Drosophila melanogaster: one gene and its partner. The protein of the gene in region 2 interacts with the protein of the main gene of each other region in a pairwise test. Each region holds a gene or a part of one and is shown on either strand. Other genes may lie near its edges. The genes, in order: CG16753 and wge.

The links.
Region 1: the proteins of wge (region 2) and CG16753 interact in a two-hybrid assay, tested with the Drosophila melanogaster proteins (one large-scale study listed by BioGRID).

What each region holds. Positions count from the first base shown.
Region 1 is NT_037436.4:3,053,392-3,056,662, reverse strand, and holds CG16753 (uncharacterized protein), read right to left. Parts: upstream 1,585-3,271; 5' UTR 1,508-1,584; coding exon 974-1,507; 3' UTR 821-973; downstream 1-820. Other genes in the region: CG1271 (uncharacterized protein), read right to left, coding at 1,847-2,123, 2,183-2,346, 2,413-2,865, 2,923-3,271.
Region 2 is NT_033777.3:22,717,885-22,722,978, forward strand, and holds the start of wge (winged eye), read right to left. Parts: upstream 3,267-5,094; 5' UTR 2,640-3,266; coding exon 2,195-2,639; intron 2,134-2,194; coding exon 1,987-2,133; intron 1-1,986. Other genes in the region: Irp-1A (iron regulatory protein 1A), read right to left, coding at 3,546-4,375, 4,440-5,094.

The DNA of each region.
Region 1 (3,271 bases), on a different chromosome or scaffold from region 2:
TTGAATGTGCAAAACCTAGATATAGTTGACTTATATTTTCTATCAATGTATATGTAATACTTCGAGGCGGTAACGACGAGCCTGGGCCTAACCGAGAACCGCTTCCCGATAGCCCGCAACCCGTTCCCGATCCCGTTCATGTTTCAATGAAGTTTAAGATCACGCAGACGTAACGCGGTAGGTTGTAACCTAAGTTTAGTGTAGATTCGGCTACATTTTGTACATGAGATGAGATAGCGCCATTTTATGGAGACACCTTTCAATAGCTATGTTAACTCTACTGTTAGTGCTGGTGGCGAAATGGATACGATACGATGGACAAGACGACTGATGTGTGTTTGACTAGCGTTTAATGATCTCACAGGAAGGAGCCAGCCCACGCTAACGCGATAATACCGATAATAACCATAAAATAGCCGTAGATTAACTGTCCGGACGCAAGGACCTCGAGTCCACGGCTCCGTTTTCACTGTAAGAAGAACAACACCAAGTTGAAATTCGAACCCTAAGCAGGCGCATATAGAACGCTCTATGATATAACGTAGCGATAGACTAACTACGATCACATAGCCCGGGCCGTAAAATGCAAAGATCCCCCCAAAAGTCCTCACGTTCGAATCTTGTCTAATCCTCGTTCTGTTGACCCTCTTACGATTTAATGCTTACAACTTACATTCGTACGTGTAATATTTATATGCATCGTTAAATGATAACTATACCTAATGCATATATAATAAAGATACTTCTTAATAAACAAAATCCACCTGTTTTCTTCTTGGGGGCAACTGAATTTTTTAGCTCTAAACATTGATCATAAATTGTTCTAGATATGCACAGTTTATTTTACAGTGCTCAATTAGTAACGTTTTTCATAGTTTTGGACTAACATACTTGCGTCATCGTATATTTCTTTACAATCCTTGTATTATTTATGTTTATACCTAAAAATAATTAATCTGCTGATTTGAGGCTTCTATTCGTAGTCGTCCTCTTCCATCGCCTGGTACTTGTTGCGCACATGGGCGGCGATGACTTCGCGGGGATTCTTCTTGAAGTTCTTGTCTTTGATGAGCTTTTCGAAGGACTTGACGGTGTTGACCATTTCAGTGCGTTTTTTCCGGATCTTCTCGTTGGCACTCAGTCGGACCTCTGGTTCTGTGAGGGCTGCCCCCTCGGAGACATCCTTTTGCTTGGTCTTCACCAGCTTGTAGATGTCCTGCAGCGAGGGTAGGGCATCCCGCAGTGGTTTTAGATCTCCGACAACTTTGGTCTTCTCGCGATTCTTGTGCTCCTCCTTGCGTTTCTTACGCGCTTCGGCGAATCTCTTGAGCAGCTTCTTGTGTTTCGCCTCGGATTTCTCCTTCTTGGTGGTCGTCTTCTTGGGCGTAAGGGTCTTGTGGAGCAGACGATCCTCGCGCAGCTTGGCCTTCATGTCCTGAGCCTTCTGCTTGGCCGCCCCCACCACGCTTTTCGCCTTGGCCCTTACATTTTTCTTCGTTTTTGCCATTCTACTGCGATTTGTGCACCAACAAAATCAAAATAAAAACAAACGTGCAGCGTGCTAAGCCCCAAAATCAGTGTCACCACACCCGGTATGGTTAGCGATGACAATAACAGTGCTTCGTTATCGGTTATCGGCGGCAAGCTGATTGTTGGTTAATATATTTGAAATTTATTATTCAGCTTCGAAGATTAGCACTTAAATATGTCATTTAAAATATATATATATTCCACAGCCCATAAAAACGTATGTAATATATAAATTCAGCATTTTATTTACCAACTACCTAGCCTTCTAAGTGACTAATGAATAACAAATAACAAAGACAGAGAATAAAAGTTTAACCTAATACCAGTCACTAAACCGGGCAATCGTCCGGCTCCATTTGTCCATCCGGTTGGCAATGGTTTCGTACTCCTTGGGACGCGGTTCAAAGACTCGCGCCACTTTCCGGAAACGTTTGAGATCGTTCACATCGCGCCAGATTCCGAGGTTGATGCCCGCCATGAACGTGGCTCCCATGATGCTGCTCTCCGCATTGTCCGCCCGCTCCACCCGCAGTCGGCTGAGATCCGCAAGGAATTGGCAGACGAAGTCATTGCGGGAGACGCCGCCATCAACCCTAAAATAGAAGAAAATAAGTGCAATGTAAAATTGGTTAAGATGGATAGACAGAAATACCTAATCATATGAAGCTTCTGAGAGGTCTCCTTCTCAGCGGCCTCGATCAGCTGCACCAGACGAAATACTATGCTCTCGAGCAGAGCCCGCACCATGTGGGCTTTGGTGGTGGACGGAGTGAGGCCAATAAAGCCACTTGCTGACCGATAATCGTTCACCGGGGGCTGTCAAAGATAAGATGGGGATTAGGTAATCTTGAACCAGTTGCAAAAGTGCTTTAAAAAACATACCCCCAGGCCACTGAAGGCCGGCATGAAGAACACATCGTTCGTATCTGGAACGGACTGTGCAATATCTGAGGTGTTCGCTGGACTATCGAAGAGCTCGCACGATTGCGCCCAAGTGACCACGGTGCCAAAGTCATGGGATGCTCCCTCAATGCAGTAGACAGCTCCCTGCTGCCTGGTTGGTTTCTTGAACTGCCAGGCCACCAATGGATACATGCCAGAGATGACAGCTTGGCAACGATCGCCTGTTACCAGATTAAGGAACGCACCAGTACCCATTGTGACCTTGACGTCGTTCTTCTGGAAACACTGCGAGCCCCAAATGGCTGCTGTTTGGTCACTTAAAGAGGCAGCAATGGGTATCTCTGTGTTGGCCCAATCCGGACCGAAGGCAGTAGGATGCACATGCCCAAAGCCCTTGTAGCCGTTGTCCACCACACGCGGCAAGATTTTTGACTGCAATGGAAGCAAATGAATGCAAATAGAGCCTGATGGAGGATATAGCCAACTCACATTGATGCCGAATAGCCAGCTTATAAGCGGCGACCAGCTGAGCGTGAACGGATCGTACAAACCCGTCGCCGTACTCGAGGTCACATCGGTTATGTGCTCCACATCCTTATCGCGACTGCTGCCAGTTCTTAGCTTGTGCAGGATCCACGAGTCCAACAGCTCCACGCGCGCCTTCTTCTGCATCAGAGCCTGCTTCAACTTCTTGTTGTTCATTATCTCGAAGAGTAGCCTTGGAGTGACCTGGCCATTCATCAGTTGGAGAACGCTGCCGGCGAGGAATCGTGACTGGCGGGTGAGAAGGAACAGGGCATACGAGAACCAGTTCATGGAGCTCTTCGTCCAGCTGGCA
Region 2 (5,094 bases):
GCATGTGACTTGTGGCAAGGAAAGGAAAAAAAAAAAAAATAATAACCAGCGGCACGTTAGGAAGACTCTTCCATATGGTCGTCTACTGAATCCAATTCGGCGTGTCATGTTGCTAGGTCCTGTGTCCTGGAGGATGATTCGCCCGGTTTGTTACCCAGTTCCCCTTTAGTTTCCCATCCCCGGAGAACCACTCATGCATCCGAGCATCCAGCTCGAGCATCCCTTATAGGTGATGCCTTACTTGTTCCTGGTTCCCCCACACACACACACACACACACACACACAGATTCCAGACTACTTCTAGCAACAGCCACCGCTGCTACCTTGTCTGAAGTCTGAAAAAACAACCCACCCGAGCACCATGAGTCCATGAGTAATCTGTCTTTGGATTCCCGCTCTGATGTTCCTCTGAATGGCGCCCACGCAACTGGAACTTTAGCTTCAGCTCCATTGGAGCATGCTAACTAAGCCGAAGCCCTCGATACTCTGCTCATTGCCGAACCATAAGTAATGCGCCTACTTTATAAGGGTTTTTTTCTGCACTCAAAAGCACTAGAACCCGCTAAAAATATGTATTTTCTGAAGTCATTCTAAAAATCTAAAAGGAAAACGTATTTGATGCATGAAAATAAACACCCTCAATCGAGAATGAGCTGTTCTGTCAGAGTTTCTTACTAAAAGAGAACTTCTGGGAAATACCCAGAATAGATATAAAAACAAAATTTCAATCTGTTTTTGCATTGGATTTTTATAGCAGCGTTGAACTTCTAGTTTAATAGATATATAAAAATAAAAACCCCCGCAAAAAGTAGCTTGTGACTTCAATTTTATCAGAGTTGATAATAATAAATGAGTAAATGGAGATTCCAGGTAAAAATAACAAAAAATAAGTGCAACTTTGTAAAGTCAAAGCAATACAAATTATATATTCATTTAGTTAAGTGTAATGATTCATTTCCCTGCCATCATATTGCTCTAACCATTTATAGACGTTATCATTTAAAGAATAACATGAAATTCCATGTAGTGATTAAAACAAAGTACACAGTTTCCTGTACTCTTGCTCTTTGATTAAGGCTATGGCACATCTGGTACTATTTTGTAAATAGATTGATATGAAAAAGTAACCCATCCAAGATCATAAAGTTCATGTTCGTGTCATGGGCATGGTTGATTATTTCACCATTAGCAGACTTTAAAAATAATCCGGAAAATGTAATTCGACTGGCTACGGCGACAAAACACACCCCCAAAAAAATATAAACATATTTATGTGCCCATCTAAAGAGCAATTTCAAGTCGACCAGAGCCAAGGCGACGCAAAGCCTCCCTTCTCAAATCGCAATGTGTTTCACTTTCGTTTCACTTCCGCTTTAGAAGTTCGTATGATTTACCACCGGGTTTCCTTCTGCCCGCAAGGGAGGATGGATATGGGGATGAGCCGTTTTGAGTCGAATCCAGTCGATTCGGTGGCTGTCACAACAACGACAGCCGCACAACAGGCGGCCATCATATGATTCCTGCCCTCTAAACTCCAGCGGGTTGTTTAAGGCGGAGACGACACCCTCGGCCATTGCTCACTGATGGAATTCCGCACAGCGCTGAACGTTTGTTGGCAATCTTATTAGTGGCATAATTGAACGACGTCCACGTCCTGGCATCATAAGCATCATATAACGTTGTCCCTTGGGAAGCGCCGTTCATTAGGGGCGCTCAAATCTGGTGACTCAATTGAATTAGATGCCCAGAAGTTACACGGATGGAAAAAATGTATGGCACAAGACAGTGATTGTCTTAAATTTACATATCATTTAACACAAATGGAAAACAGCATCTAGAAATATCTAATGATTCTTTAAGTAAATCATTTGGTATCTCAAAGATAGCAGATACCTTAAAACAGTTTACATCCCCTTGAATATCACTAAGAACTTATTATTTCCATGAGATGAAGCTGCATTTCTCTCTGTGTAGCTTGGCACTCACCGAGGTCAGCGACGCGTATGCCGAAGCAGTTCAAGTCCTTGTTGAGTGGTGGCTGCAGCGGCAGCGTAGCGGGGGTGTTGATAGCCGGCACCAGAGCTTCTTGCGGGCGTTTCCTGGCCACGGCGATGCCAATGGGAACGGAGTTGCCTGATAGAATCGTAATTAACCGATGAGGAGTGCTCTTGACCAGTGGCTGGGTGTCACCTACCTGTGGACTTTTCCAATTCCGATACCTTTGGCGAGGGAGCCTCTATTTTGACGAGAGTGGTCAGTGTGGAGGAGGACATGGTCTTGGAGGAGGCGGTCATCGAGGCGGAAGACAGGCCCTGATGCTGCACCTGGTGCTGGTGGTGTTGGTGATGTTGCTGCTGTTGCTGGTGGCAATTGTTCGAGCTTATTTCGGACACCTGGCAGGGTTCCCTCTTGATCTGCACAAAAGTGTACGACGAGTTGGTCTGCTGATGGTGATGGTGCTGCAGGGGAGTGGCCGTCGCCGCGGAGAAGCCTCCGAATTGATCCAGCTGCAGATGGGCGGTATGGGCACCAGGATGCGATACTGCCGCAGTGGTGGGCACCAGAAAAGTAGCCGTTGCTGTGGTGGCGCTCAGAACGTCGGCGGCACTGCTGCTGGCGCCAGGATTAAACGTGGCCATCGGGTAGCGGTGGCTGTGCACATATATGTATGGCTACCGCTCCCTGGGATCTCTAGCCTATACCTATTTCACTATATATCTTGCGGATTCGACCAAAAACTAAACGTCCATTATCCGCACACACAAACACACGTGGACACACACGGCACACGGACACACACTAGCACTGGCCCACACACACACGCACACAGTCTACATTTTTACAGGTTTTCGCTGCCTCTTTCGGATGCAACATTGGCTACTGGGCCTGCGGCAATTCCCCATAAACAAATGACATAATCCAAAGCGACGCGACGCCACTGGGCACTATCCACAGGTCGAGGGAACCGAAGCACCCACCAGTCCAAGTGCGGTTGCCCAAAATAAAACCCTGTGCGATCCGAGATCTTTTCTTTTTTTTTGTGTTTTTTTTTTTTGGTGGGGAGGCGGAGGCGCGACTTTCCTGCTGCGTTGTTGCGTTTTTGCGCGGTTCTTCCAAGTGAATATCGAGCACTGGCTGCAGAGCTATTGGCCAACACACGATCTGTTGCTTATTTATGTTTTTCTTTTGCGAATTGGAATCAAAATCCTCTGGAGAAAAGTCCACGGGACGGACAAAAAAAGAAGCAGCGAACTATGTTAAGTTAACAGCGATATAACAGGGACTATTCGATTTTATTGCTGCCTTGTCGATGATTCACCAGCAGGCGTTAGGCATTTTTAGCAGGACTGGTTTGGCCATCGGCATTTCTGCTATCGATAACATCCAGAGCGCGCAATTTAAAATATTATAAAATATTTGAAATATTTTTTTTTTAATAATTATCATCTCACAGATGAATGTCAAATTTTATTTCCCAGCACATAATAACAATTAAAAGTCGCCTAGAAATGCATATGGAATATAAAAGTCAACGAACGCACTAACTAATCCAGCATTTTGCGTATCATATAGTTCAAAATGCCGCCATTCTTGTAGTACGTTATGTCCACCTCGGTGTCGAAACGCAACGTGGTCTCAAAGACATTGCCATCAGCATCGACCTGAATCCTCTGGCCCGGCTTCAGTTCGCCCTCGGGCAGGACAATGTTGTACACCTCCCTGCCACTCAGTTTCAGGGTATCGGCGCTCTGGCCAGGCAAGAACTGCAGCGGAATGATGCCCATGCCCACCAGATTTGAGCGGTGAATGCGCTCGTACGATTCAGCAATCACCGCCTTGATGCCCAGCAGAAATGGCCCCTTGGCGGCCCAATCACGTGAGCTGCCACTGCCGTAGTCCTTGCCTACGACCAGAACCAAAGGTGTTCCTTCGCTCGCATACCGTTCCGCCGCATCGAAGATGTCCATCTCCTCGCCACTGGGCACGTGCAGTGTGCTGGGTCCCGTCTTGGATGCCAGTTTATTGACCAGACGGATGTTGGCAAAGGTTCCGCGTGCCATCACCGCATCATTGCCACGTCTGGATCCATACGAATTAAAGTCGCGCGGCGTTAGACCCCTTTCCGACAAATAGCGCGCTGCCGGTGACTTTCGTGCAATGGATCCGGCTGGCGAGATATGATCGGTGGTCACTGAATCACCGAGAAGCAGCAGACAGCGAGCCTTCTCGATACCTTTAAGTTTGGGCAGCGCACGAGTCATACCCTCGAAGAACGGTGGTAGTTTGATGTATGTTGATATTTCACTCCATGGATACAACTTGCTATCCGACACCTCCAACGTTTGCCAGTCCCTGGATCCCAGTTGAATTTTGCCTGTGATAGCGGACACAGTTAGCCTAGAGCTGCGGAAAAATCTTAGTCAGCTAGCTATACTCACTGTACACCTCCTGGAACATGGCGGGAATGACGTGCTTATGCTCTACCTCCTGAATCTCACTGCGCGTTGGCCAGATATCGCGCAGGAACACCTCCTTGCCGTTGGAATCCACGCCCAGCGGTTCGATCTCGAAATCAATATCCACACGGCCGGCAATCGCGTAGGCAATCACCAGCAGCGGACTGGCCAGATAATTGGCCCTAGTATTGGGATGGATGCGACCCTCGAAATTGCGATTGCCCGACAGGACGCCACAGCAAACCAGTCCGTTCTTCTCGATGGTGTTCACTACGTTCTCATCGAGCGGGCCCGAGTTGCCAATGCAGGTCATACAGCCATAGCCCACAATGTCGAAGCCCAGCTGCTCCAGATAGGGAATCACACCGGATTCCCTCAGATAGTAGGTAACCACGCCAGATCCTGGTGACAATGAGGTCTTGATATACGGCAAAATACTCAAGCCCTTCTGCACGGCATTCTTGGCCAGCAGACCAGCGCCCAACATCACCGAGGGATTCGAAGTGTTCGTGCACGAGGTGATGGCGGCAATCACAACAGATCCATGACCTATCTTATAGCTCTTCCCATCGTCCCATTGGAATTCACCACTTGCAGCCAATGCACTCGGTGGTATGGCGAATCCCTTGAAGCCGAC